Linked DNA regions of Pelodiscus sinensis. The protein of the gene in region 3 interacts with the protein of the main gene of each other region in a biochemical or structural test. Links are inferred from orthologs where the notes say so. Each region holds a gene or a part of one and is shown on either strand. Other genes may lie near its edges. The genes, in order: DNM1, SOS1, GRB2 and DNM2.

What was found.
Region 1: the proteins of GRB2 (region 3) and DNM1 form a complex in vitro, tested with the Homo sapiens proteins (5 studies listed by BioGRID and IntAct, with this or other methods). The link is inferred for Pelodiscus sinensis from reciprocal best matches to the Homo sapiens genes GRB2 and DNM1.
Region 2: the proteins of GRB2 (region 3) and SOS1 form a complex in vitro, tested with the Homo sapiens proteins (15 studies listed by BioGRID and IntAct, with this or other methods). The link is inferred for Pelodiscus sinensis from reciprocal best matches to the Homo sapiens genes GRB2 and SOS1.
Region 4: the proteins of GRB2 (region 3) and DNM2 form a complex in vitro, tested with the Homo sapiens proteins (3 studies listed by BioGRID and IntAct, with this or other methods). The link is inferred for Pelodiscus sinensis from reciprocal best matches to the Homo sapiens genes GRB2 and DNM2.

Annotation. Positions count from the first base shown.
Region 1 is NC_134732.1:11,330,152-11,337,357, forward strand, and holds the start of DNM1 (dynamin-1), read right to left. Parts: upstream 3,007-7,206; 5' UTR 2,741-3,006; coding exon 2,580-2,740; intron 1-2,579. UniProt on the Homo sapiens protein: Catalyzes the hydrolysis of GTP and utilizes this energy to mediate vesicle scission and participates in many forms of endocytosis, such as clathrin-mediated endocytosis or synaptic vesicle endocytosis as well as rapid endocytosis (RE).
Region 2 is NC_134713.1:196,919,901-196,927,358, forward strand, and holds the start of SOS1 (son of sevenless homolog 1), read left to right. Parts: upstream 1-4,437; 5' UTR 4,438-4,830; coding exon 4,831-4,917; intron 4,918-7,458.
Region 3 is NC_134730.1:12,214,519-12,221,468, forward strand, and holds the start of GRB2 (growth factor receptor-bound protein 2), read left to right. Parts: upstream 1-3,937; 5' UTR 3,938-4,172; coding exon 4,173-4,250; intron 4,251-6,950. UniProt on the Homo sapiens protein: Non-enzymatic adapter protein that plays a pivotal role in precisely regulated signaling cascades from cell surface receptors to cellular responses, including signaling transduction and gene expression.
Region 4 is NW_027465894.1:173,564-180,934, forward strand, and holds the start of DNM2 (dynamin-2), read left to right. Parts: upstream 1-4,356; 5' UTR 4,357-4,453; coding exon 4,454-4,614; intron 4,615-7,371. UniProt on the Homo sapiens protein: Catalyzes the hydrolysis of GTP and utilizes this energy to mediate vesicle scission at plasma membrane during endocytosis and filament remodeling at many actin structures during organization of the actin cytoskeleton.

The DNA.
Region 1 (7,206 bases), on a different chromosome or scaffold from region 3:
GTAGTGAGGTCATGAGCCCTACTGAGACAAAGGTCACTGGCAAATTATGGATAATATAATTCAGTTCATTCACCCTCCGTCAAGCCGCTAAGCTCAAGCTCTGCATTGGAATCAGTGAAGTTACAATTTGTCCCCTTCTGCTTGCTCTATCTAAAAGAAAGGAGCTATTTGCTCTGAAACAGCTCTTGCTCAATGAACACACTTGGTACATCCTTGCTGTAGTCACCATATAGAACTTCCACAAAAGATAGATTTGGGGGGACCATGACAGCAACAAACTCAACGGGCTAACCAAGGTTTTGCTCAGTAACAGTTCTGGGAACCCTTTTTCTCTTCCCAGCAGGTTTGATCACAGTGGGTTGTAAGCTTTTGAGGGCAGAAACTATCTTTTTGTTCTGGTATTTGTGCAGCACTTACCACTATGGGGTCCTGCTCCACGATGGGAGCTCCTAAGTATTGTGGTAATACAAATAAACCATAATTATAGCGGAGGCTTCTGGACAGCCTTCCCACATCCTGATTCCCAGGTACACTAATTCAGAATGGAATCTCTGAAATAGACCATTGAAAATCAGCAGAGAAGAATCTCAGGCTCTTTTGAGTATGTGACAATGGGAGATTTTATTTAAACAACTCTGATTCCTGCTATGTTTTCTTGTTCCTCAAAAACAGCAGCAGTGGCATCTTCCTAATGCCATACTGAGTCTCATTGCTCAGGGTCACCTGAGCCCCTGTACAGCATACTGGACTTACTCTGTTCAAATACCACAAAAACTGGAGCTATTTGGGCTCATGACAGACTCTTTCAATGATAATAGAGCTATAAAATAGCAGATGTCATAGTGCAGGGGCTAGTAGGGGCGAAAGAGAAGGAGAGTGCCCATGCAATAAAGCAGGGGAAGAAGAGGGAGAATGCAGTTGGTGGAAGAAAGTAATTCCTCCCAGGGAAATCAGCACTAACCTGTATCTTGGTCATAAAGGATAGCAGTGCCTAATAGGGAAGGATTATAGCAAGCCAGGGCCACAATAGCTTAAGCAAGCTACAAACAAGCTCAGGATACACTCCAGGTGTTGTGTATACTATGTGTGTGCAGACCACCTTCCCTGATCATCTGGTATTTGTTGAAACTGCTGGTGATTAATGTGAAGGTCACATGAAGGGAAAGCACCAGAATATCACGGTCACAAAATGGTAGCACCCAGGGAGTTGAACACGTAGGGGAATAACCATTGCTTTTTCTGCTTCTCCCCCCAGCTCCTGACATGGCAGCCACTATGGAGGACAGAGAAAGGGGTGGGGGAAAATGAAATTGAACTTAAAGTCCACTGCTGCACAGCCTCACAACAAGCACATCCATCTTTAGGTAGCTGCGTGTGGTTCAAGGCATGTCCTATATCTAGCCAGGTATAATCAGGAGCTGAGGACATGCTATGTGAATCCAATCTTCCTAGCATTTTCTTGTGGGATTCTTCAGGGTGAAACTTAAAGCAAACAAGAAATCTAGTCTTGATGGAGCTAGTCCTCAGATCACCATGGCTAAAGGGCATCTTGGTATTAACAGGTTTTTATACAATTATTTATCTGCACACACAATATTCACTGATTAGTATTTTTTTAAATCACCTTAGATAATACATTGCCAAAAAAGATGTGGAACCTGTATCATTTTTGGTTCTGGCTCGCAGGTCTTTGACGTGATAAAAATAAAGGACACACAAGAGTGTGGCTATTTTCCCCCTGACATTTCTGTCCGTGACATTACATAACATATGGAGCACTAGTCTGTGCTTTACTGGATTTCCATGATTTTTTTATATGCAGCCATTTATGTTATTCGTTTTCCCCTTGAAGCAGTGCCTTCCTCCCCACCCTGCCAGTGCCCACAGCAATTGTCCTCCAACAGCGGGGGGGGGGATGGGGGGGGGGGAGAATTCCACCATCCTGGCTTCTTGCTCATCCCCAGGATTCTGCCTTCTTGTATGTAGCTCCCAAAAATAAATAAATAAACGATTTAGGATTAAAACCATTAAATCCCCTGGGATGTGGGCAGCACATCAGCTCTGTTCCTTCCTACTCCCTCTCCACCCCCAAACAAATGGCTTCTTCTGTGCATTAGTCACTCCAAAAGCAGGATTTGCCTGATGCTGCATTCTTCCCTCAACCTCTTTCACACTCACTCTCCACCTCACCCCTCCCAGCCCACCAAGCAATATGCTGCCCGCCATTGATCAATTCCCAATTAGATATTACCATTTCAAAGCAGACATTTATACAAACACACACATGCACTTCTATGCTGAGGGGAAGAGGGCTCTCTTGCTAGTGAAGGTGACAATCCAGGGAATGTCACTGTTCACAGAGACGCCTGATATCTGCATTGTAGGGTGCAGTGTGTGTGTGTGTGTGTAGCAGGGGCTAGGATGACGGTTCTCCCAAGAACCTCAAGTTGAAGAGGGCAAGATCGGCCCCCCTCCTCTGTCCTGTATTGCACTGCATTAAGCATTGCATGGCATGTCCGTTGAGCAATGCATTGCTCCCATAACCTCCCCTATAATCGGCTGCATTTTAAAAATCTTACCTGCCCACAAAATTTTCCAGCACTGAGCTCTTCCCGGCGCTCTGTCCGCCCACCACGGCTATCTGGGGCAGGTCCAGGTCTGCATTCTGACCGATAGCCGCGAAGGCATCCTGGAGCCTGTTGACCAGGGGGATGAGGTCTTCCATCCCTCGATTCCCCATGTCTGCAGCTCTGCTGGGCTCTCGCTGCTGGGCTTGCAATGCAGACGCCTCTCTCCGCCCGCTTCCCTGGCAAAGGATTTACTGCTGGGCTTTGGCCCCCCAAGTCCTCATCAGGGGTTGTCCCCAGCCCTCAGCTGGGCGGTGCGTTTGTTTCCCCTTCACTCCGCCTAACCTAGGTCCCTGGTCTCTGCAGCAGGGCTGCCACCCCGACTGCCAGCTCAAGCACCGCTAGCCACCCGGCTCCTCACGGGATTTAAAGCGCACGTAGCATCAGCGACCGCTAGGGGGTGTTACGTGCCCTACTGTGCTCCGAGAGCTTCATGGGAGTTGTAGTTCGTATAGGTAAACGTAAAGGTGTTGAGAAGGGAGCTACGCTGGGAGCCAGGCGTCTTGAGAGTATCCGCCTTCAATAGCCTGGGATCTGTTCCTATACAGGGACATTAAGAACAAGGGAGTCTGCCGGGGTCTGATGGAAACACGGCAAAAATCCTCCATCGTAAAAGGGGTTCAAAATTGGTATTCAAATCAATCCTCCAAAATGTGAAACCTGGAGGATCTGAATATTTATTGATATATTTGTAATGAAAAAGCCAGAAATATTTCACTCCTCCCAAACAACAGACTCCCCCCCATACACACACAAATCTGTGCTTTCAATATTCAAGAGAAACTGCAATTAATAGCTAAATGGTTTTTAAATTACATCTTTGTAAATAATCTCTGTTCTTGTAAATGGACGTACCTAGCTTACTAATAATTAAAGTAGAAGGGGTTTTTTTAATTTTACTTTTAATTTACTTTTAATTGTTTCTGCAGTTTAATTTCTGCTGTTTTGTTCCCAGTCCGTTTCAATTTCTGGTTATAATGCCCTAGACATTGTTGCTGTTTGATTTACAAAAAATGCAAGGAAATGTTTAATCATATGTGTTTCCACTGTTTCTTTTAACAGTCTGAGACAATAAAGAGGAACTAATTGGCTCAGTTTGCAAAATAATGTTTTTACAAAAATAACATTTACAGCCATAATTAAACTGAAAGTGTTGTTGGAAAAACAAAAATATTCCTTACAGGTAAGTAATTTCACTCTGGTCATGTTGTTTGCAGTCCAAGTCCGCCCCACCCCCACAATCTTGATAAGAGGTTTGCTGTAATCAGCAATTCTAAAATGTACATAAAATTGAATGTATTTGATGGCCGCTATTAACATTTTTTGCAAGGAGTAGCACCATCAAACTATTTGAATATTGGATTTTATCCTCATCTGTCAGTTTAACATTATAAAAAGAGGCATTTCCTTCTGAGTGAGTCTGTGTTCCAGAAATCATCACTTTGATCATTCTGTTCCACGGGAGATATGAAATTAAATTAACACATTTGTGTTTCCCTTAGAAAAGGCTTGCAAAAGAACGCTGAAAGTGCACTGTGGCAACAACTGACATTCATGTCTTAAAAATCTGACTAATATATAACCAGAGGGATGGAGAAGAGCCAGAGATGCAACAACAGGATTTCTCGTGAGTTCTCACTCAGCTATCTTACTTTCATATTTATGTTTCATAAAATTAGAATTTAAATTACCGATAACCTTTGGCTCTCAAGCTACACACAACTTTGGAAGATACCACAGGCCTGATGTGAGTTCTTTATACTCTGCCTTATTTCAGGAAGAGCTCTTATACTGTAGACTGACCAATGATGGTGTGTATGTCAGCTGTTTGTAGTTATTCAAATTAGAACAGTGGTTTTCAAACTTTTTTTCTCATGGCTCAGTTGAAGAAAATCACTTGAGCCTGCAACCAGAGTGTAAGGAAGTATGCCTCGGTGCACCACTGCAGTAAGCACTGACTGCACTCTGGCAAGAGCCGGCTGGGGCACTCAGCTCATGTAGAGGGACCAACTGAAGGCGCGCTGTAAGGGATGTGTGCGTACTCTCAACTGGGTTAGTGAGAGGGGCTAGTGGTGGGGGCTCCAACCTCCATCTAACCTCTGTAGTCTGTCCCCAGCCATTGTGCTCCTGGGGCAGACCTCACAGCTTAGCTCTGGCAGCCCAGCGACTGCTGCAGGAGCTCAGCCCCTGTGGCCGAGTTCAGGTTCCTACTAGGGATGTTAAATATTGGTGAATTGAATAGTTGAGTAACCTCATGAATTCTTATCAGTTAGTCCACTGTTGTATAGTCCCTGGGGGCAAGGCTAGCAGCCAGTACTCTCCAGCCTCACTCCCGAGAAGACCCCTGCCACTCTGTGCTACTGCCACTGTATCAGAGAGAGCAGCGTGGGGTGACAGCTGGGAGCTGGTCCATGAGAGAAGCCAGTTTAAAAACTAGCTCCCCTTGTGGACCAGCTACCTGTTGTCCTGTGCTGCTGCCTCTGATAAAGAGGCAGCAGTGTGGGGTGGCAGCAGCCCCTGTCTAGGGAGTGGTCTGAGCTTCTGAACTTGGCGTGAGCCGGAACTGAGCTGGGCTGCCTGCCTACCCAGCTCCTAATACACTTTAAATGCAAAGTTGCAGCGGGGGTAGGTCCCGGACCCATCACAAGCCAGGACTGAGCCGGGCTGCTGGCCAGTCTGCTAAATAATTTACTGGCAAGTGGGGGGGCGGGGGGCACAATGCGTGTAGCTTACAGCATTAACCTATAAGCTTTTGCTTATCTGTTAATCGACTAAATTTTTACATCCCTAGTTCCTGCCCTGGCCGCCTGGCCAACAAGGCCCCAATCAGGGCTCAGCCCCCATCTGGCTGCAACAGCCTGTCTCTGGCCCCCATCCTGAGGCAGGCTTAGTGGTCCAGCTCCCATCTGGCTGCAGGAAGGGCTGGTGGCAACCCCCTGTCCTGCCGTGACCTAACACTCCTGCACCCCCCATACACTCCAAATGTTGTGCCCTGAGTCCCTCATACACCTGAACCCCCTGCTCTGATCTCCTCATGCATTCCAGCTCTGATTCCTGCAGCCCCACATCTCCAGCCCCTTGCCCTAACTCCTGTACCCCTACATACCCTAAACTCCTGCCCTGAGCCCCTCATACACTCCAGCCCCTGCCATAACACTCCTGCACCCCACACACACACTCCAACCCTGTGCCTTGAGCCCCTCATACATCCAAAACCCCTGCTCCAAGCCCCTCATCACTCCAACCCTGTCTCCAGCACCCCCCACATCTCCAGCCTCCTTCCCTATCTCTTGCACCTCTGCCCACCCCAACCTTCTGCCCTGAGCGCCCCCCCCCCCCCGCCCCGGTGCTCCACTGCACACTTAAATTTCTTACAGGTATAGTTGTATCACAACTTTTGCTATAAGCCCCCTCCCTTGGGTTGTGTTAGGACAGTACCTGTAAGAAATGTAAGTTACTTTCCCCCCTGCCTCCAACCTGACATAATTTGACTAGAGTGTGGGCTGTGGAATGGGGCTGAGGATGAGAGCTTTGGGATATAGGAGGGGGCTCCAGCTTTGAGGGGGGACGGTGACAGGGCTGTGGCAGGAGGGGCTTACTTTGAGTTGCTTTCAGTCAGCGGTGCAGCAGGGGTGCTAAGGCAGCTTCCTGCCTGCGCTGGCACTACAGACCATGCTGCACCCCAGAAACAACCAGCAGCAGGTTCCCAGTCAAGAGGAGTGCGGAGCTAATGCTCGGGGCAGGGGCAGTGTGCAGAGTCCTGTGCGCTTTCCCCACCACCACGTAGGAGCCAAGCCTGCTGCTGGCCACTTCTGTGGTGCCAGGACAGGCTGGTAGCCAGCCTTAGCACTTCCACTGGTCACCTGATCCCCCTGCAGCAAGGAGACCCAGTGCCTGACCCAGTACTGGGTCATGAACAGTAGTTTGAAAACCACTAGACTAGAAGTCAGAGGCCCATAAGTGTATGTTTGCCGACTGCCCAATGATGGGTTAATCTGGCCCTGACCAGACCAAACCAAATACAAAGAGGAGACACTATTACAATTTGGCTCCTGCTAATAAACAGCTGATTTTCAGAGGTGTTAAGCACCCACAGCTCCCACTGACTTCAACTGGATGTGAATGTTCAGAACTTCAGGCAATCAGGTTATAAAGTAACCCTACACCAGGTGGTTCATGTTCTTGAGCCTGTGTGTATACAAGAGACGTCTATAAATAGACAAGAATATAAACCCTGAGGAAGGATTGGGGGAACAGGCTAGGTGTTTATCAATATAGGAGAATATATACACTTTTTCAAGTGCTTAGTCAGTGCTACAACACTTTGATCAGATGCTCTGAGTTATTTAAAAAGACGGTGTCTACACTAGGAATCTATTTTGAAATTAGTAAATGCGACTTAATAACTCCTGATTTAACAAATTCAAACTAGTGTGTCCATACTATGGGGAAACCTTGAAATTAGTCCAAACCAGGGTCCGTTAATGTGGACACAGTACCTTAGACTTAGAGCCCCAGGAAGTACTGGGGAGTAATTAGTTTGAATTACTCTGGGGAGTAATTATTTTGAAATGGTGAC
Region 2 (7,458 bases), on a different chromosome or scaffold from region 3:
TACTTCTGAGAACACATCTGGAGGGATGAGTGAAGAAGTGTGTGAGTAGGAGATATAGAGACGGGGGATTGGGAGGTTCTGTGGGGGACAGTAAAAGGCTGTTTTAGAGAGGGGGAAGCTTAACAAAGAACATAGTAAAGGATGGAGAGAGCACAAATGAAACAGGATGTTGCCAAATTATGCAATAGAATGGGGGGGGGGGAGAAAATCAAAATGACCATTGCGACTCTCATGATCGGGGATGATTCTGCAGCTCTTACAATTAAATATATGCAAATAGGATTTATTAATAACCAGAGCTCAACAAACTGCTGTTTCTACTTGCCCGTGGTAAGTAGATTTCAGCTGGTCACTCTATGCGCCCCATTCTCCGGCACTGCGCGCATGCACGGTGCGGGGCTGGCGAGTAGCTCTCACCACAGTTTGTCGAGCCCTGTTCATAATAATTGAGGAGGACTGAGCTTTCCTTGCATCTGGTGGAAGTCATTCCCCTCTGGATAATTCTAATAAAGAGCAGTTCATAGCCTTTAGACCAGTGTTTCTTAAACTGTGTTCTGCAGCACTGGTGTGCCATGAGATAGTTGGAGATGTGCCGCGGAGAGCAATAGAGTTCAAAATGGCCATGCTTAAAGGGGCAGGTGACCTTTTTTCCTCAACTTTCCCCCAACCCCTCTCTTTTTTTTTGGTCAACTTTTCCCTGACCCCCCTTTTTTCCCTCAACAAAAAATCCTTGGTGTTCCTCATAAAAAAAAATGGTTTGGTGTTTCTTGGTCTTAAGTTTAAGAAACACTGCTTTAGACTGTACAGGAATAGGCGCATTAAATACAGCTTCAGGGAGAGAGGGATGGTAAGCCTGAACTTCGGAGAGGCTTCACTTAGCTCTGGTGAGGATAGGTGCACAGAGTAGGGAACTGGAACCCTTTGAGGCCAGCTCCAGATTGAGCATTTTCCTGATTCTGACTTCTGCCTGTGAGACATTCCCCAAGAAAGAGCAGGAATTCTCCATTCTATGAGGGATCACTATAAACGCTGCTGTTTCCAAAGAAGAGAGCATTTGGGCAACTTCAATTATGTCTGGACTTTACTCTCCCACTAAAGCAAAATTCTATCCCCATTCGAAGATAAGTAAACTTCTGTAAGAGCAAGGGAACACAATGTAATACAAAGGCCACCTTCACGCGAGGAAAGCATCTGGACAGGCTGACAGTTGGTGGGTCTTGATTGCAGTTTGTGCCACTTGGTCTCTCTTGGAAACAAGTGCCCCTCTCAATCGCTGGGGACCTGTAGAGGTGACTGCTGGTGTCAGCAATACTGGAGGAAAAAAAGTCAAGTCATTTTGTCTTCTGGTTTCTCAGCTATTGGGGGTTACACAACATGGTTCTTTTTTTTGCTGAGAGAAACTTTTAAAAAAATCATGTGGGTTAGACACTTCATTTAAAAAATGAAAGCTGAGATTCTTAATCACTTGCCTCCAGGAGCTGGAGAAAATGCCAAATATTTGTGAAATGCACTTTATAGACTAACAACATGTAGATGGTACCATGAGCTTTCATGGGCACAGCCCACTTCTTCAGATGACTGGAGTTATGAGTTTGGGATGTATACACTCAAAATAAATAGGAGGGGAAGGGGAGGGAAGAAAAAAGCAGGGGGGTGGGTGGGAGACAGAGTATTAGTAAGTATCTGGAGAATGGGTACTTAAACGGAAGCAGATAAAAATCAAAGTCAATAGAGCCCCCTGTCAGGAAGGAGAAAACACAAAGAGCTGTTAGCACCTTCAGTGGTTGTTAAATTGGGAGTGTCCCAACCAGCTTTCATCACAATTGAGTCCATTAGCATGTGAATTGAATTTGCAGATGAACTGTAATTCCAGTGTTTCCCTGTGGATCTGGTTTGTAGAGCTGGTTTGTGACAAGACAGCTACTTTGGAGACCTGTCTGTGATTTGGAAGGTTGAAATGTTCCCCAATAGGTTTCTGTACATTCCCTTTACGTATCTCTGATTTGTGTCCATTGATTCTTTCCCGCAGAGACTGTCCAGTTTGTCTAATATATGTAGCAGTGGGGCACTGCTGGCATAGATCAAATTACTGGATGTGCAGTCAACTAACCATTCAATTTGGTGGCTTATCTTGTTTGCTCTAGTGATGAATTCACCAGTACAGAAACATGGGCAGAGTTGGCTGCAGGGCTGGGTTCCTGGAGGCTTATGATGTGGTTGTGTGGCATGGTTACCAGAAAGAATTTGTTTCACATTAGGGGGCTGTCTGTAAGCAAGAATAGGTCTCCAATCATCTGAAGAAGTGGGCTGTGCCCACAAAAGCTCATGATACCATCTATATGTTTTATTACTTTATAAAGTGCTACCAGACCATTTGTTGTTTTTTTTCTGTAAGGGTATGTCTACACTTGCACCCTCTTTTGAGAGAGGGATGCAAATGAAGACATTTGAAATTGCAAATGAAGCTGGGATTTAAATATCCTGCACTTCATTTGCATAATGGCATTATGGCGCTATTTCTAAATAACAGACGCTATTAAGACACGGTTATTTCAAGAGAAAACTCTTCTCTCGAAATAACCTTTTTTGCTCATACAATGAGGTTTACCAGTTATTTCAAGAGAAGGATATTTAAATCCCAGCTTCATTTGCAATTTTGAATGTCTTCATTTGCATCCCTCTCTTGAAAGAGGGTGCAAGTGTAGACATACCTTTTGCGGAAAAGGTACCATACCATACGCAGCTGCTTTTGCGGAAAAACTTGCCAGCTGTCTACACTGGCTGCTTGAATTTCCGCAAGAACACTGACGATCTCATGTAAGATTGTCAGTGTTCTTGCGGAAATACTGCTCCCGCTCGGGCAAAAGCCCTCTTGCGCAAATGCTTTTGCGCAAGAGGACCAGTGTAGACAACACAGTATTGTTTTGCACAAAAAAGTCCCGATCGCGAAAATGGCGATTGGGGCTTTCTTGTGCAAAACCGCATCTAGATTGGCACGGACGCTTTTCCGCAAAAAGTGCTTTTGCGGAAAAGCGTCCTTGCTAATCTCACGGAAAAACTTTTCCATTAAAAGCATTTGCAGAAAATCATGCCAGTCTAGACGTAGCCGAACAGTTGTTCTTGTGCAAAAACTTGCCAGGTGTCTACACTGCACACACATTCTTACGTAAGTAAATTTAAGTACAGCGTCAGAAAACAGGGCTTTTCCCGGGAGAGTTATTCCTCTCCCCACGAGGAATAAGCCCTCTTGTGCAAGAGCTCTTCCACAAGAAGGCAGTATAGACGGGCAACATGATTTTCTCACACAAGAAAGCCCTATGGCTAAAATGGCCATCAGAGCTTTCTTGCACAAGAGAGTGTCCACAGTGCTATGGGCGCTCTTGCGCAAAAGCACATTGCTTGCCCAAAAGCACATGGCAGTGTTAATGCGCCCTTGCGGAAGACCTTTTACACAAGAACTCTTGCGCAAAACAGTTCTTGCACAAGAAGCCTGCAGTGTAGACGTAGCCTAACAGACTAACTCGGCTACCCTCAAAGTAAAATTGCTTGGCCCCTGGAGCAGTTTCTCAGTTGATGACAGTCCTGGCAGTTGGTGCGGGTTAACAGTTTTTGTCATCTGAAGACAGGTGATGACACATGTTGATAGCTGATCACTTGTGGTTGCAGGTTGTGACTGATCAGGAACTTTTCACCAGCTGCTTCCATGTGATCAAAAATTATGGCCATGTTGTGTCTGTTCATGAGTCTGACAGCTGGAGAGAACTGGTTACATTTGGCGTACAATGAGGACAAGTGGAGGCCGTTGGTGCCAATTTGGGATATTTTGATGGAGGTTGCAAAACCGAGTGGAAGCGTGACAGGGTTGGACATCTGTGCTAGGGGGTGATAATTTGACGGTTAGTGATGGTCTGTCTGTCTCAGAGCTGGTGAAAGAGGGTAACACTTCAAGGCCATTTGACAACAGGTGACATTTTTGTTGTGGAGATGGTCACAGCAGGGCTGTGGTGTGGGAACGTGAGGGTTTCATTGCACGGCTGTTGCAAAAGGTGGGGGGGGGGGTGAAGCTGTTGTCTGCCTGGCCCCATAGGACACGTTTTGCCCCTTCACTGGGAGCCAACAGTGGAAGCTGCCTGGGCTTTTGGGGTGGGGGGGGGGTAGGTAAAGCCCTGGCAGCCGGGGGGGGAGGGGGGCAGGTGAGAGGGCATCAGCCAGGTGGTCCAGGGCCGGGGCCAAAGAAGGAGCCGCTGTAGCCCCTCCCGACCTGCAGGGGGCGCTGCCTGCGGAACCGCTTCCCCGCGCCGGCCCAGCTCGGCGCTCGGCTGCGATTCCTGGCCGCTCGGCCTGAGCCGCGCTTCCGCGCTGAGGCTGGGAGCGAGTGGGCGGGGCGCAGGAGCAGGCCTGGCGCGCCTGCGCCGTCCCTCCCCGCGCAGGCGCCCTCGGGAGTAACCGTCCGGGCGAGGAGAGAGGGGAAAAAAAAAAAAAAAAAAGCCCCGAGAATTCCAGCCGCGCTCGCGCTCCCGGCGCGCAGACCCCTCCTCCTCCGTGAGGCGGCGCGTGTCCTTCCGCCCTGCGGCGCGCGCGGGCCGGGGCCGTCCGTTGGGCCGGGCATGCCCGCGCGGCTGGCGGGGCAGGGCGGCCGCGCGCCTCCCCGCCGAGCGCTCCGCCGGCCTCGGAGCCCTGCGCGGGGCGGGCGCTGAGGCGAGACCGGGGCGGGGGCGGGATGCGGCCGCCGCCCCCCTGCGCTGAGCCCTGGCGGCTGCTGCCCTCCGGCTGCCCGCGCCGCGCCCCCCGCTGACCCCCCCGCCGCGCCCCGCGCCCGCCGGCGGCAGGATGCAGGCGCCGCCGCTGCTCTACGAGTTCTTCAGCGAGGAGAACGCGCCCAAGTGGCGGGGGCTGCTGGTGCCGGCCCTCAAAAAGGTGAGGGGGCGGGGCGAGCCCCCGGGGGGCGGGGCGTGGGGCCGGGCGGGGGAGGGGCGGCCCAGTGGAGGGGAAGGATGGGGGGGGGGTCTCCAGTGGCCTGGACGCTGCTCCCGCCACTGAGGGGGAGGGGCGGCCTTGTGGGGATGGTCCAGGAGCCACCCCCGGCCCTTTCCAGGAGTCGGCTGGGTCGCCCCCGGCCTCCCCGCCCGCTGGGCCTCCCTTCGCGCCTACGGGCGTACGGAAAGCAGCCGCAGACCTCGCCGAGCGCCACGGCGCGGGCCCGAGACGTGACCGAGCGCCCCGGCCCGAGACGTGACCGAGCACCACAGCGCGGGCCCGAGACGTGACCGAGCGCCCCGGCCCGAGACGTGACCGAGCACCACAGCGCGGGCCCGAGACGTGACCGAGCGCCCCGGCCCGAGACGTGACCGAGCACCACGGCCCGAGACGTGACCGAGCGCCACGGCCCGAGACCTCGCTGAGCGCCACAGCGCGGGCCTGAGACGTGACCGAGCGCCACGGCCCGAGACCTCGCCGAGCGCCACGGCCCGAGACCTCGCCGAGCGGCGCGGGCCCGAGACCTCGCCGAGCGCCACGGCCCGAGACCTCGCCGAGCGCCACGGCGCGGGCCCGAGACGTGACCGAGCGCCACGGCCCGAGACGCCGCCGAGCGCCACGGGGCGGTGTTACGGCAACAGGAGCACTTGGTTCATTTTTATCGTTTAGTTATCTAATTGATCCATTTGATTGGAAATATCGTACTTACGTTTCAGGGTATAGTCTATGCAGCAGCATACACAAGTCACTGGCTATGTGAAGGTTTCATTTTGTACTAGGGATGTAGAATCCCATGTAATTGGTTAACCGGTTAAATGTGAAGTTTGCTTCACTTTTTAACTGGTTAAGGGCCCCCTGCTCCCTGGCGGAGCCAGGCTGGAGCAGACCCTGCATGTGCACCCTCCTCCCCCATGTCCCTCAGGCCTGCTGCAGACAGGGGCTGTTGCAATCTTTTGGAGCAGCCCCTGTCCGTGGCAGGCCTGGCGAGCTGTTCCAGCCCTTAACCAGTTAACTTTTCACATTCCTACTTTGTATTGATTTCGCTAATGCTTTTTCTTTAGCCTCTTATAAAAATAGGCAACTATACAGATAAGTTTATGTACCCCTGGAAGACCCATGCATATCCCCAGGTATATGTACCCCTGGATGAGAACCAGTGGTCTAGTTGCTATCTGAAAGAAGTCTATGTAAAGGATTCTCTAAGCTTTGTCAGTAGATTTGGAGCAAAAGTGTAGGGAGCAAGAGTGTAGGAAACATGATCCTATCCTATTTTACTAAGGCCAAGTCCACACTAACACTTCACAGCATTGTAACTTTCTGGCTCAGCCACACTCCCAGCGCTGTTAGCTCCTCCCCTCGCAGAGGTGGTTTACATAAGGCGCTGGGAAAGCTCTCAGCACTCTTGCGGTGGCCACACTTTCAGTTTAAAGTGCTGCTGCGGCTGCACTTTAAACTGCAGCACTTTAAACTGTTAAGTGTAGAGAAAGCCTTACTTCTGGTTTGTGTCTTGGTGCTTCTCTGATGTCGAATTTGTGGTGTGACGGCCTAGTTTATAGCCCAAGGGTGGCTATTTTTTTTTTTTCATCATTACAGCCTCATTTATCTGCATTAATGACTGGCTGATACATCACATGATATCAAATATTGCAAATACATTTTAAAAATTAACTATTTCATATCTGTTGTTTTGTTTGTCATAGTTCATATTGTACTGAATGTACTGCAGTAAATTTTATGACCTTCGTAATGAGAGATCTCACTGTGCAACACTATGCTATTAAGCATACTGAAACACAGGGGGAGATTCTGATAGATTTTTCTTAAGTTGGTATGTTTGCAGATAACAGTACATTTGGTTAGGTTCTCTTGTGTTGTCCTTTTGTGGATCGTTGTTTTTAGAGTAACTATATTTTGTCAGGCTCACTTAGTCTTACCATACCAAAGAGATCAGGCCAGTGAAGCCTTATCCTTGGACATCCTTCCTCTTGTGTTCCAGCTTGGCTCAGAAATCTATTGTTATTGTTTAATTGTAACTTTTTGTGGGACTTCCTTTCTTTTCCAAGTTTGTTAGTTGTGGAATGATTTTTCATCTCAAAGTTGCTTGTTGTCAATCTCTTGTAATTTCTGTTTTTAAACAAATATCGCTTTAAAGGAACTTGCACAGCCTTTTACACTGAAATATTTGTTTATCCCCCTGCATGTTTGTGCATATGAAATTTCTCAGCTGTGATGGTTAGCCTATGTGTCTTAGCCTTTAAAAATAACATTCAACTCTTTTTATTAAAGGAAAAATATAATAAATTCTTAAGGCAGAACTTAGAATTTTACTTTTAAACTCTACAAGAACTTGAGGGGGTAGACTTTTATAGTGAAAATATTTTGCTTAATTAGAGTTGTGGCTTAATGACCTGACTTTAGTTTTAGTATAATTTTGTAAGAATGCCTTTTGCTAAGGATGCTTTCATTAGAAATGAAGGAATA
Region 3 (6,950 bases):
CACCAAAATAGGGTATACAGATCCAGCAGATTGTAACATTAAAATTGATAGCTTACATGAAGTATTTTGTCTAAAGCATCTCCAAGTTACGTACCTCTATATTCACAAGCCAATTTTCATAAAGCAAGGGTGGGAGTAACTGTCACACATTCTATATGCAAATATAAGGGAGAAGGTAGTGGAGGAAAACAACAAGTAGCACAAATATGAAGGGAAGTAGAACAGCTCTTAGCAGCACAGAAGCACACAAGGGCAATTTTAGAGTAAGCTCACAGCCATTTATTTGGGGACCCTGTACAGAGTCCTGAAAGAGATTTTACTGGCCTGGGGTATGGGTGGAAGTCTAGCGCTACTGAGCCTCTTGTCCAGAACACCCATTGCATAGCCCCCAACCTCACTTACAGGCCCTGTTACTGAAGTCCTTTTAAAAAAGAATAGCCATGGACCTAGTGGGCCCACTCGGAAGTTTGGTCTGGGGCATCAAAGTATACTTGTCATCCTTGGCTATGCCGCAAGGTATCCATAAGTCATTCCCCTAAGAAATCCCACATCCTAGGCAATAGCAAAAGAATTGTTCCAGGTTTTTGTGAGAGTGAGCATCCCTAAGGAAATCCTGACCAACCAAGGAACTCCCGTCAGGTCAAAATTAATGTGGGACATATGCACACTGCTCTACATCCAGGCTTTGTGGACTCAGTCTACCGCTCTCCAACCGATGGCCTGGTCGAGCAATTTAATCATACCCCCGAGAGCATGATCTGGAAGGCAGTGTCCCAGGATGGAAAAGACTGGGATACCCTGATACTGTACCTGATGTTTGCAATACAGGAGGTCCCCAAAGTGTCTATGGGATTCTCCACTCTTGTGGCATGTTAAATATCATGAAGCAGGATTAAGAACAGCCCAACCCAGAGAAGAATGTCATAGAGCACATAGCTCTAGAGAGAGAAAATAGTGCAACTGACCCCAAAGTATAAGAGCAGTTGGAAGAAGGCCCAGAAGACCTATGACAGCCACTGGGTGAAAACAGAGATTTTAGACAGGATACCAGGTGCTGGTACCAATAGCAGAAAGCAAGCTACTGGCCAGCTGGCATGGGCCATATATGAGATAGTGGAAGTTGCTGGGGAAGCAGACTACAAGATAAAGCAACCAGACTGCCAAAGGCCAGAGCAGATCCACAGTGTTAACTATCAGAAAGCATGGTGTAACTGGTAGACATTCCTGGTCACACAGGGAGCTCTACCCCAGGCAGATGGCCCACAAAGGCAGTTATCCCTGAATTAACTCCAGAACAATGAACAAACATCATTGACATTATCAAGTGGAACTAAGGGGTGTTCTCCATGCAGCCAGGCTGTAGGATGATGGTCCAACACTATATTGTCATCTGTCCCAGAGCAAGGGTGAAGATGAAACCATACTGGAGGCCAAAAGTGAAGAAGTTAAGATGGAGGTGATGCTGGAACTCGGGGTGATTGAAAAACCCCACAGCCAATGGTCCAGCCCTAGTCCCAAAGCCTGATGGCACCCTGAAGTTTTGTAATAACCCCCGGAAGTTAAATGAAATATCCCAAATTGAGCTAGTTGATCAGTTAGGCAAGGCCCAACACGTCGACGGAGCCATGTAGATGAATTTACTAGACAGGAAAATGAAGCGGCGATTTTTCTTATTCGTGAATTATTTTCCTTATGTAACTTGATTGAAGTGTGACTGACATTTTCATCTGGTTGTTTTCTGGGGCTACTGCACAGTGGTGCATTTTCTGTTGAGTGGAGCTGGCCTGGGCTGTGGCACCTTTCTCAGGCCACGGCAGCTCTGGATGGGGTAGGAGTGCAACTCCCTGACCACAGCAGCTCAGGCTAGGCTAGACCAAGAGAGGGGTACCTCTCCCTTCTTGCACAGTCCTTGATAGCTTGCTGCATGGTCATGCAACTTAGAAAGAACTTAGGTTATGAGTGCTATGTAACAAAAACTTGTTCTATGTAGCAACTAGCAACTGATAATTAACAGCCTCAGGACCTCTTTGCATTGAATTGTCAGTCATTCAAAATAATAGTGATAGAAATGTAGCCGTGTTAGTCTGGTGTAGCTGAAACAAAAAACAGGACTATGTAGCAGCTGGGTTTATATATATGCTGGTAAAAGCTTAAGTTAGAGCCTTGGCGAGGATGTGTCATCTTGTCATTGCAGTACAGTATTGAAGGGAACCCAGGCTAGTGGGTTAAGTGGGCTCAGTGGTACCCCAATTCCAGATGGCACGCAAGGGGAACCTGTCACAATCACATATTGTGGTAGGCATGTATATAGGGTCCATGGATCTTGAAAGATGTGTTTTGGGGGAGGGAGCATGGTGAGCATTGCAGCAGTGGAAAGCTATGTCTGCAGCCTTTGCATCTGCTGTTCTGACATGCTCTGGTGCCACTTTGAGTTAGTGTGGTTTTTGTTGGTGTGTTTGAGCTAGGAAAAGTTGGGGGTTGTTTGAGGGCCAGAAGTGAGGTTCAGGAAAGATTTTGTTCAGGATGAGATTCCCATCAATTATAGGCTGTAGTCAGTTATATTGCGTAGCAAGGGGTGAGCAGTCAAAGGGGATTTTATTTCTCTATTGAAGCAGGCTGTTGGCGTATTTGGAAATGGGCCACAGACAAAGAAAAAAGTGTGCACATTTTAATGGATGTCTGTTCATTTGATTTGCTTTTTGATGGGTTGGTGTATCGAAATATCTTAGGTCAGGTCTACACTAGAAACTTCTGCTGGTATAGAAGATATTGCTTAGGAGTACAATCTTGCTCAGGGGAGAGGGTTATGACACTTCTAAATGGCCCTCTTTTTCTAGGGTGGACTAGGCTAATTTGCTTTGATTCTGTCCTGTGATAGGAGAATTATGCCCTTGAATGTAATCCCATATATCGTCTCACTTAAAAAATAGAAGGAAATAAAAAACATTTAGGCTATATAATTTTTTCAATTCTAAAGTTTCTCCCTAGCTTCCCTCCTGAGAGTGTGTCCTTCCCTCTCCCACTTATCTGAGCAGCGACAGTTCTGTTCTTATTAAGATGCTTGAAGGATGAAAAGGTGTGTGCGCATGCATACACTGTCTTGGGGGTGGAAGGTGGGACTTGATATCACAAGTGGGTAAGATCATGAAGGCACGGTTTCCTCCCCCATGGTATACCTCAAGCTAAGTGAGTTGACAGTGTTTCGAACACTCTTGCAAAAAAAAATAAAAAATTCTGGGATGTATTAGCAGTAGTGTTGTAAAGAAGACACAAGAAGTAATGTTTCCACTCTATGCTACACTGATTAGGCCTCAACTGGAGCATTGTGTCCAGTTCTGGGCGCCACCTTTCAGGAAAGATGTGGACAACTTGGAGAAAGTCCAAAGAAGAGCAACAGAAAGTCTAGGAAGCATGAGCTATGAGGAAGACTGGGATTTGTTTAGTCTAGAGAAGAGGGGCCATGATAGTAGTTTTCAAGTACATAAAAGGGTGTTACAAGGAGGAGGGAGAAAAATCCTGCTCCTTAGCCCACGAGGATAGGCCCAGAAACAATGGGAGGTTTAGTCCGACACTAGGGAAAACTTCCTGTCGGGGTGGTTAAGCGCTGGGATAAATTGCCTAGGGAGGCTGTGGAGCTATTTCAGAGCAGGTTAGACCCACCCCTGTCAGGGATAGTCTAGATGGGGCTTGGTCCTGCCCTGAGTTCATGGGGGGGCTAGGAGTGTGGGTGCTTTCTGTGTGTCCCCACAGCGCGAATATGGAGTCCCCAAGGGGAGAGCGCGCTGCGGCCTAGTGCAATGAGGCCGGGGGCCGAGAAAGCACGCGCAGGAGCACCCAGCTCTTTGGATGGGGTGCGCCTGCGCGTTGCCCTGTGCGCTGCAGTCCTAGCTGCTATTGGCCGCTTTCCATGTCACTCCTCTCTGGCTGCTTCCGGGCGGAGCCCCGGCTTGAGGAGGAAGCGGCGGAAAGCGGAAGCGGCGGCCGGTTCTGGCTCGGGAGGAGGGAGAGGAGCAGGGCGCGGCCCCTGCCATCCGTCCGTGCCACACTTCCCCTGATGGTCGGTCTCTTCCTCCACCTCCCCTAGGGCCGCCCGTGAGTGGGGTAGACGGAGCCGGAGGGAGAGCTCCCTTCCCAGCCACCCCCCGCGCCGCTGTTCGCGGAGCAGCCCCAGCATGGAAGCCATCGCCAAGTACGATTTCAAAGCCACCGCGGACGACGAGCTGAGCTTCAAACGGGGGGATATCCTCAAGGTAAGAGCCGCGGAGGCTTAGCGAGCCCTCTTCTCCCGAGTCACTCGGGCCCCACCATCTCTGGAAATACCCCCCACCCACCCACACACTATCCCATTTCCTCCCCCGTGTCTCCTCCACAGCCCTTCTGACCCCTTGGGCTGCTCTTCGACAGCATCTTCCAGCCCGCTTGTTTTTAATGGCAGAGAGCTAGAGCATAGACCAGTAGCTGAGAAGTACTATTAACTGGATTATTTTTTTTCTAGAGATGCACCCTTTGATAGTAATCCACAACTTAGTGTTTCATCCCTTTGCCCCCTGCCAGAAAGATTTGCATGGAAGAAAAATTGGGTCATCTTTTTGCCATCACGCTGCTAAATATTGATACTGATTTTCTTCTTCTTCTTCTGTGGTGTTAGTTTTCAGCGGTAAATCTGTAACACTGAGTATTTAATGGAATTGTAAAGGTGTGAGTGGATGCCTGGGATAGATTAGATGGGTTTTGTGTGTAAGTTTCTCAATTTATTGAAGAGTAGGAGTCCAGCATAAATTTATATTTGCTTTTTAAAAAAATATATATGCCTAAAACTGAAGAAGAATCTAGAAAGAACAAATGAAGAATGTATGCAACAAAAACAGAAAATGGGGATTTGGTAACGGATTATAGTGCGTGTTTTGTATAAAGATTCTAAACTATGCTGCTTTCAGAATAACTAAAGTCTAGTTTGTATTCATATAAGGTTTTTTTTTTAATTCTATGGTTAATATCACCATGTTTGTTATGGATAAAACAAGATGGATACTTTTTCTTCTAAGCAATTGAGCCATTAGCGGTTTAGCTTTAAAAAGTTGAAATCCATATCTTTATTCTCCAAAATAACCTGGACATAGATGGCTGAGGATTAAAAACCATGTTCTTTAAAAACCCAATCCCACAAAGATTTTAAGCACATAAATAACTTTGTGAATGTGAATATTCTTCACTGGGACTATTAACCTGCAAACAATTACAAACCTTTAATTTTTTTCGGAGTTGGGGCTAAGAAATAGTAGCCTGTTCAAGGAGTGATGAAAAGGCCCCTTTAAAGGCAAACTTAAATTCCATTTGTGCAAAAGAATCACATTAACTACTTCATTGATGCAAGAAATATATGGATTCTGTTGCAAACTTCCTATTTTTGCCATAAATTATGAGTTTTCTGCTTATCTGAGGAAGTGGGATTTGCCCACGAAAGCTGCTTATACATATACATAAAATAAATTTGTTGTTAGTGTCTAAAGTGCTATAGGACTACTCCATGATTTTTCACTGGCTGAAATTTAGTATACAGTGTCATAGAAAACCAGTTCCTTAAACATTTTAGTTGGGATGATAACCAATTCAATTTAAAAAAATTTAAAAAGTCCTGCAGCACCTTAGAGACTAACAAAATATGTAGATGGTCATATGAGCATTCTTGAGCACAACCAGTGCGAGCTGGAACTGAGCTGGGCTGCCTTGCCTGCCTGGCTCCTAATACATTTTAAATGCAGAGCTGCAGCAGGGGTAGGTCCCAGACCTGCTATAAGCCAGGACTGAGCTGGGCTGCTGGCCAGCCTGCTAGAAAATTTACTGGCAGCAGGGGAGAGGGAATGCGTGTAGTCTATATCATTAACCTATTAGCTTTTGCTTATCAGTTAGTCGACTACACTATTACATCCCTAATATATAAGGATTTCTTTTGTCTAAACTAGGAAAATGAGGACCTGTATTGCAGTTTATTCAGACACTCTTACTAGATCATGATTGTGTTTGTGAGATTGTGGCAGAAATCTGAGCTTTATGTGTGGCATGCTTCATGAAAATTAACTTGTGAAACTGTATAACTCAAAGATCCTTTAAACAAAATACCTTTTGTAACATCAATTTTAATGTTACAATCTGCTGGATGTGTATATCCTATTTTGGTGCATGTATCATTCTTGTGTGTGAAGTTATGAAGTATGAGTCTGTTTATAGTTTTAATTGTGTTAATGAGAGCCCTTACTAGTGCCCTGGAAGCCTAATGGCTTGGTGATAAATTTGTAAATAGTCTTGCTTATCCTGTAAGTCCAAGTCATGGTTCATCCTAGGAAGACAGGTGACTATACCACCTGGTACTGAAATCCATTTTGAACCTGGTATTTTCCCATGGAATCAGGGATGTAAAACATAGACTTTACCTCAGGGCTGGGAATACTAAGCAACGGGAAGCAATCCCCCTTGTCTTCAGCTGGCTTTGGAGACTGCCTGGCACACCCTAAGAGGAAAAAAGAACTTTAAAGAAGTCTGGAGACCAAAATCAGAGTAAAAGATCATCTGTGTTTTGAAGCTGATGCCTGAAATAAGAACAGTTGTTTAGAGTAAGAATTTGCATATGACCAGTTTCTTAGTGAATTAGAGCTAGTTATCCCTTTTCTATTCATGTTTATTTAATAACTTACTTTGATCTTACTTTTTGGCCAAACTGGACAGCCTCTATGGCAGGGCTGAGCAAAATATGGCCCAGGGGCTGGATCTGGCCCGCACACCCACCTGGCCAGGACTCTGTCCCAGGCAGCTGTGTGGTTTAAAGCTCAGCCTGTGCATCTCTCTGCTCTGCAGGAAGGGAGAAGATTCATGCAATCTCCTTGCCCCTAGCTGAATCCTCACCTCTGAGAGGCTAGAAACAACTGGCCAATAGGAACAAATAGCCAATAAGA
Region 4 (7,371 bases), on a different chromosome or scaffold from region 3:
AATTGAATTCCAGGCAGGGCCTGTTGTCCTGGCACAACCAAACCCCGACACGCTTTGCTAGACGAGGAAGCTGCCTGGCGGAGTGGGTGGTCCGAGCTCTCGCCGGTTGCGGGGCGGGTGGGCGTGCACGCTCCCAAATGCATCATGGATAAGGGCAGGCTCTAGAGGGAGTTAATGAGCAGATCTCTTCCCCACCCCCTCCTGAAAGCAGCTCAGCTTGCCCAAAGTTGTCATGGGCTACGTCTACAAACGAGGCTAAGTGGGGAATATTGCCACACCTCATTTGCATACCTAATGAGCCGCCGTTTTTGCAGAAGAGGCCCTTGCGCCAGAAGGAGCTGTCTACACCGCCCCGGTTGTGCAACAAACACCCTCTTGCGCAAGGCCGCTTACTTTTCAGGAAGAACGGCGTTGCGCACGAAGGGGAAGCGTAGACAGCTCCTGGCGCAAGGGCCTCTTCTGCAAAAATGGTGGCTCATTAGGTATGCAAATGAGGCTCAGCAATATTCCCCACTTAGGCTCATTTGCATATTTCTGGCGCAAGAAGCCGTGACTAGACAGAGCCATGGTGTTTTCAAACTCACCGGGCTGAGGCCCTTTCTCCGGAGGGGAAATTGCTGCCGGCTTCCACGGTTGGGTACCTGGATCTAGTCTCAGAAGCAGACTCCTGCTGTTGGCTTTTCACTGCCTCTTCACTAGCATTTGAGGTGCTGCTGGGTCCCTGAGAGGTGGGGGCGGGGGAAGGCTCTCTCAGGGGACCGAGCGCCTGAGCTCACCTGACTGCCCTTTGCAGTTGGGAAAGGCTCCTGGCAGCCCAGCGCAATCCAAGGGGGCTGGCGTAAAGAGCGAATGCAGGTCCTCAGACCCCCGCCCGCTAGCACCCCGCAGTCACAGGGCCACAAGGGGGTGGGGGGCAGTGGGTTACAGAGCGTTACAGCCAGGGGCCTCCAGTCCTTGGTTTCTAGAGTCGAGCCACATGACGACGTTTCGCTCCCGGACTCCTCTCTGGAAGGTGTTTGTGCCCCTGGGCAGTGCCCTGTGCTCACCCGTGGGAGGCGGTGTTAGAGCAGCGCCAGTGTCTGGTTTCAGCTGTGTTGCTGGGCCAGGTGTGTGTGGGCCCCTGGCGGTGCGTGGGGGAGGGGGATGGGTCACGGTGGGGGTGGCTGCTGGTTTGGCAGCTGTTCTGGTAGGGGCTGGCGCTGGGGTGAGTTGTGGGCTCCTGGTCTGGGCAGAACCTGCTTCTACTGGGAAGCTTGGGGGGGGGGGCACAGGTGACTCCTGGTAGCATGCTGGAAGAGCATCTCCCATGGCCCTGCTACAGGGGTGCCCCCTCCCTGTTCCTCTGGGTGGCCTCCTTGTACCCCTTTCCCCTGCCATCCCCAGTCACCTGGGGGCAGTTCCACTAAGCATGGGCTGTAATGGTTTCAGGATCACTGTGTAAGTCCTGGCGGCCGGGGGGGGGGCCTCTTGACCCTGGTCCTGGGAGAGCTCTGTGGAACCTGAAAGCTTGTGTCTCACCCATGGGCCTTGGTCGCCTGGAAGCCATTAACCTCCCTCCTCTAGCACTCACTGTCAGGGCCGTATGTGCCGGTCTGTAAACACTGTACCCCTGGCACCCCCTGGCACCAGAAGAGCCAGGCCAAGCAGCACCCGAGGAAAATCCAAGGAGAATCAATGAGCCCTATGCCTTGTAAGAACGGGGGAGACCTGTGTTCTAGTCCCGCTTTGGGACAGACGTGTTGGGAGACCTTGAGCAGTCACTCTGTGCCTCAGTTTCCCCTCCCACCCTGGGTCTGTTTAGTTGGCGAGCTCTTCAGGGCAGGGTCAATGGTTTGTTTCTCTGTCTCTGCAGCACCTGCCCCAATGGGGCCTCAGTTGCGATTCGAAGACGACACACTAATTCTGTTGTGAGCACAGGAATTGTGCTGGGGGAGCACTACCGTGCAGTCCCTGTGCAAGGGACCGTGGATTGTGCCCTGAGAAGCCCCAGCACCCAACCGAGATCAAAGCAGTGACAACAACCCAACTTCCTCCAGAGCGGGGTGAGGCTGCGGCATGGCCGAGCGTTTGTCCTGCTCCCCGACTCCCTAGGGAGTGGGCGTAAGGCGCTGCCCAGGTGCGGCACAAGGGTGAACTAGCGGGCTGAGAGGGTATTACTGGGGCAAACCGGCTGGGAAGCTTTCTGCTAAATCCTCCCGCCACCTTTAAAAAACGGTCAAAATCAAACACTTGTGACTATGGAAACAAACCAGTGAGATTGTCTCCCCCCCTCCCCCCCAGGTTCTTTTCCTTGGGGTTGCAACAATTTTGATTCACACTCTTGCACACGCTGCTCTGGAAAGTTGCCTGCTCAGCGGTAGCTGAGTTTGGGGCCGTGTGAATGGGGGAGCCATCGGGAATGTGATTCCCAGGACACTGCTGCTAAGACTTGGGTTTCTGGTGTGGATGAGAAGGGGCTGCCCCTCCCAGCTGGCTGCCCCCTTGTCCTATAGGAAACTGGCTTGATTTTCTCTCCGGGGCTTGCATTGTATGTGCAGAACAGCCCTTCCTTCCCCAACCAGCTCCCGCTCTGCTGCCACTTCTCGGGCCTGATGCACCGGGCTTGGGTCCTGACCCCATCCTACTGTGAGTGGCCAGGGTGTTAAGCTTGGCTGGGCTGCTGCAGCTCCTAGAGCCTGTGGGGAAAGTCACTGTGCAGAAAAACCCTTCAGCAAGTTTGGCCTCGTCCTGGCTTGAGCAGACACTTTCCTGAGCTGAAGTCAGGGTACCCAAGCAGGCAGGAGCTGTGCTCAGTGGAGGGGAAACTGGCTTCAGGCAAACATCCAGCAGAGAGCAGGTCCAGCCCCAGTCTGATGGCGTTAGGAATGCTGGAAACTGTCCGTTCTGCCCTAAGGCTGACACTTATCTATAGGGTGACCAGCCCGCATGTGTGAAAAATCAGGGTGCTGGGGGCGGGGGCTTCTAGGTCACTTATAGAAGACAAAGCCCCTAATAGTGGCACCATCCTGACATTATCAGGACATCTTGTCACCCTACTTGTGCCCAGCTCTGAGCCTCTCCTTCTACTTAATAACGCCCCCCCCAGCCACAAAAATTCCTGAGACCAATAGCCCTTTAAATGCATTATCATTTAAGGTAGAAATTTCTCTCCCTGGCCCCAAAAAGGAAACAATGGCAGACCCTCCCTGAAATCCCCTAGTGGCTTTGCTACTGTTTTGGGCGGAAGGTGCCCTGAGACCTTGGATGATGGGCAGCAGCAGAGAGTGGCTAAAATACCAGCACTAGTGCATCCTCCAGTGGGAAAATGGGGTAGAGCCTGAGACTCGGTTTACCATCCTGTACCTTTGGGTGCCCCGTGGCGCCCTTCTGGATCGTGGGTAGGGGCTACCTGCGACGCCCACTGGGAATCTTCCTATTGCTAATCTACCAAGGATGCATGTGGGGGGTAGCAGGAAGCTGGGGGCAGACTGAAATGGCTCCAGCAGCATGAGTGTGGTCTCAAGGCAGAACGGCGATGCAAATAAAATGCATATAAAGTGACAATGTTTGTAAACAGTTTTGGCACCTATCTGGAGTCGGGCAAGAGATTTAGGATAAGCGTCCTTCTCAGTGGCGCTGCTGAACTGTGCATTGGACAGGTTCTATATGGGGAACTACGGTAGCCCAATGGTGGGCGTCTAAACTGGGCAATATGCTATATAGGAGGGCAGCTTGTCTAGCTAGGAGAGCTATGTTACCCCATGGGGGGTGGTTCATAGTAGGCTTCTGTATGGACAAGGGGCTGCCAAACAGAGAGAATTAAGGTAATGTAACATGAGCTTCTAGAGGGAGATATATGGTAAAAAAATTAAGAAGACATACGCTAATGTAACGTGCTGCTATACGGAGAAATGAGGTACTCGATTGAGATACGTTCTATACGAAGGAATACGGTACCGGCGGGGGGAGGGAGGGGAGGGAAGAGGACAGGAGACCAATAACGAGGAGGGACATGATGATTGACATTCTGATCACGCCTTTCCTCGAAAAGTCCCGCCTCTCCCAATGAAATGGATGGTGTGGCAGAGTGACAAAAGTTCTGACCAATGGAGACAGGGCGCAGTGAGGGTCGGAGAGGGCGTAACCCTAAGGTAGAGCGACTGACTTCTCCTCCAATGAGGAACCAGAAAGGAGATATTAGGGCGGGACCTAAATATCCCGCCTTCCTGACAAGGTCACGCGTGAACGCTATAGGTTGGGAGAAGCCAGTGACAGGGCAGGCGACCAATAGCCACGCGCCGATGAGGCCCAGCCCTCCACCCACCGCCCGCTCTGATGGAACGGCCGTCCCTATTGGCTAGCGCCGCCGCGCGGGGCGGGGCAGGGAGGGGTGAAGCGGCGCCGGAGGCGGATGAGGAGCCCGTGAGGGGAAGCTGGGCCGGGAGCCGTTGCGGAGCCGGGCCCCGCGGCCGCCATGGGGAACCGGGGCATGGAGGAGCTGATCCCGCTGGTCAACAAGCTGCAGGACGCGTTCAGCTCCATCGGGCAGAGCTGCCACCTGGACCTGCCGCAGATCGCCGTGGTGGGCGGCCAGAGCGCGGGCAAGAGCTCCGTGCTCGAGAACTTCGTGGGCCGGTGAGCGCGCGCGCCGCGTACTGCCGTTGGGGGAGCGCGCGGCCGCGCCTACGCCGCTTGCGTAAGCCGGCGGGACGGGAGCGGCCGGGCGGCTCCGCGGCTGGCGCAGGCGCGGTCTGTGAATCCGCTTCGCGTCACTCGCGAGCGCGCGCCGCCCTGGGTCCTGCGCCGCTGGCGCGAGCGGGGCCGTGCGCAGTTGGCGTAGGGCGCGCGCGCTGGCGGCGTAGCCAGGTCGCCTCTCCGCGGGACGCAGCGGGCGTAGAGCGCTCTGTGAATAGCAGGGGGGTGGGGCAGCAGGCGCGTCCCCCAGTCCTGGGCACAGGCCAGCTCCCCCCAGTTGTCCCCTGCCCCAGAGGCTGCATGGAGCCCCCCTCCCCCCGTCAGGAGCCATGACTTGCTCTGGGGTGCCCCCCACGCAAGGAGCAGGGCTCCTGGGGGGGGCAGGATTCTCCTCCCCCCCCCCAGCTGTCATCCTGCGCCTGGTGGGGGGGGGGGGGCTCGCGCCGGCCTCCTGAGCCTTGGGGGCAGGGCTGCAGACTCCCACCCTTCCCGAGAGGCCGCTGCCCCACTTGCTGCCACCCTGTTCCTGCCGAAGGGTCCCTGGGGCTGAGCCTTGCAGGTGCAAGGTGCTGGGACTGGCACTTTGGCTAGGAGGAGGCTGTTTGCTGCTAACTCCCCCCTCCCCCTGCACCTTCTTGGGAACTGCCAGCTACTGCAGCAGAAGCTGAGCTCTTGTCTAGTCTATATATTCCTGATAGACCCTGTGGAGCTTTTCATAAGGTCTCAGGTGCCATGGCCTCTCTTGTTTCTGTCTCCAAATCCCTTACCTTCTCCAGTTCCGTTTTTACACTGGCGAGCTGTATGTTACCCTGAGAGAGAGAAGACTTAGGTAATTCCTGTTTGTCTTCTGCATAAACCGTCTTCCACCCACTTCAATGGGATAAGAATTGGGGAAGTGGTTTGTCATGCCTGGTGGGATCTGTTAAGATGCAGGATATGAGCAGAGTGGGCCAGCTGGTGTAGAGGGTTGTTCTAGTATTTGTTTTAATTCCTTAAACTCCAAGGAGGAAGATCTTTAATCTGCACTGGTAGGAGCCAGTGTGCCACTTGATCCAGCTAACTGTACTTTATACAAATGTTCTGGTATACCCGGAGCACACTGGATCTGCACTTGTGGTACTGCATGGGCTATTTAATTTCAAGTGATGATCCCTGTTTCAGTGATAGTTTTCCAAACCAGTGGGAAATGGAGCGGAGATGGACTTTAGAATCTGCTGAAAAATGATCCTGTGAAAAAGAAAGTGCTTCTGTAGTCAGGCTGGGTTCGGTCAGCATTTTGTTTCAATGGTCTAAGAATAACCTGGATTGTTAGTGAATTGTGGAATGCATGTGTGAGGTTTTTTTGTATTGATCGCTCGAGCTGAAGTCAAGCTCTGTGTGATGCTTTAACAGAACAGCTTTGGTTGTTGTTTCATTAATGGCACTTAACTTGCAGATTAGTGGGGGTAGATGTCAGCATCTTTGAATTCCTTAATCACAATTTTCAGGACTCTTTAAAAAGTGGTACAAGGATCTACAGGAGAACAAGTGTCTGCAAGGTGGGGAGGACAGTTTTGTCAGAGCAGCTGACAAGGTTCCAGAGCGTAATTCTAGAAACTGGAACCTGTTCTTCATTCAAGTTAATCTTAGACTTATAGCAGAGTCCTAGCCTTTTGCTGTTCCCATGGCAATAATGCCCATGATGATCTTAATTCAAATGGGGTCCTTTTCTGCTGGTGCTGTACAAACCAGGACCTGGAAATTGTGTACCTGGATGGATTAGGGATGTTAAGAAGCATGTAATTGGTTAATTGTGTAGTGGACAAACGTTTTGTCAACTACATGATTAATCAGTAAGGAGTAACACTGCTACCACTCGCTCCTGGCTCCTGCTGGCTCCGGCCACTACCCCCGCTGTGGCTCTGCACTACAAGCGCTTGTACTGCAGAGCCACAGCAGGGGTTGATGCTGGGGCCTGGCACGAAGAGCCAGTGTGCAGGCAGGCTGGCTCAGTCCCGGCTTATGCTGGGACCTGGCATCAACCCCCACTGTGGCTCTGCACTATAAGCACTAAGAACCAGTGCAGGGGGTTAATGCTGCGACTGAGCCAGCCTGCTAAAAAATATATGGGGAGAGGAATGTTGCGTGTAGTTGATACATTAACCAATAAGGACCTGCTTGTCGGATAACCGACTAGTCAACTGCTCTATTATATCCTTAGTGTGGATCATTAGGCTCCTGCCTCGGTCCCACCCTTCATGGATCTGTCTGCAGGATCCAGTCCCTGCTCTGGGAGAGTGCATTCGAAGACAAGCTGCAGCAAGTGGGCTTGCTAGATAAGGGGGAGAGGCTGAGGTGAGGTGTCAGTCACAAGGTAGTGTGGTGACAGGGTAGCTACTGCACAAGTGGACTGTAGAGTCCACTAAAGCTTTGGGTTTTTAAAGGCTTATTTCTTCTGGTGTGACTCGAGTCCCTTTTAATTGTTTCTGCTTTTGTGGTGCTTAACCCCTGTGACCTGGGGAGCAAGGTCACTTATAAGGGTCTGTCTTGTCTCAGGCTGACCTAAGTTTTCAGTGTGTTGAATTTCTGCCTTTTCTACAGCTTGTCCTAGCTTAAAGGATGCGGGTAAAAGGTTGGTAACTAATGCGTGACTTTTGCTACTTGTAGGATATCTTTGGTAGAACAGGACAATCTAACTGGGTATATCTGGAATCTGTC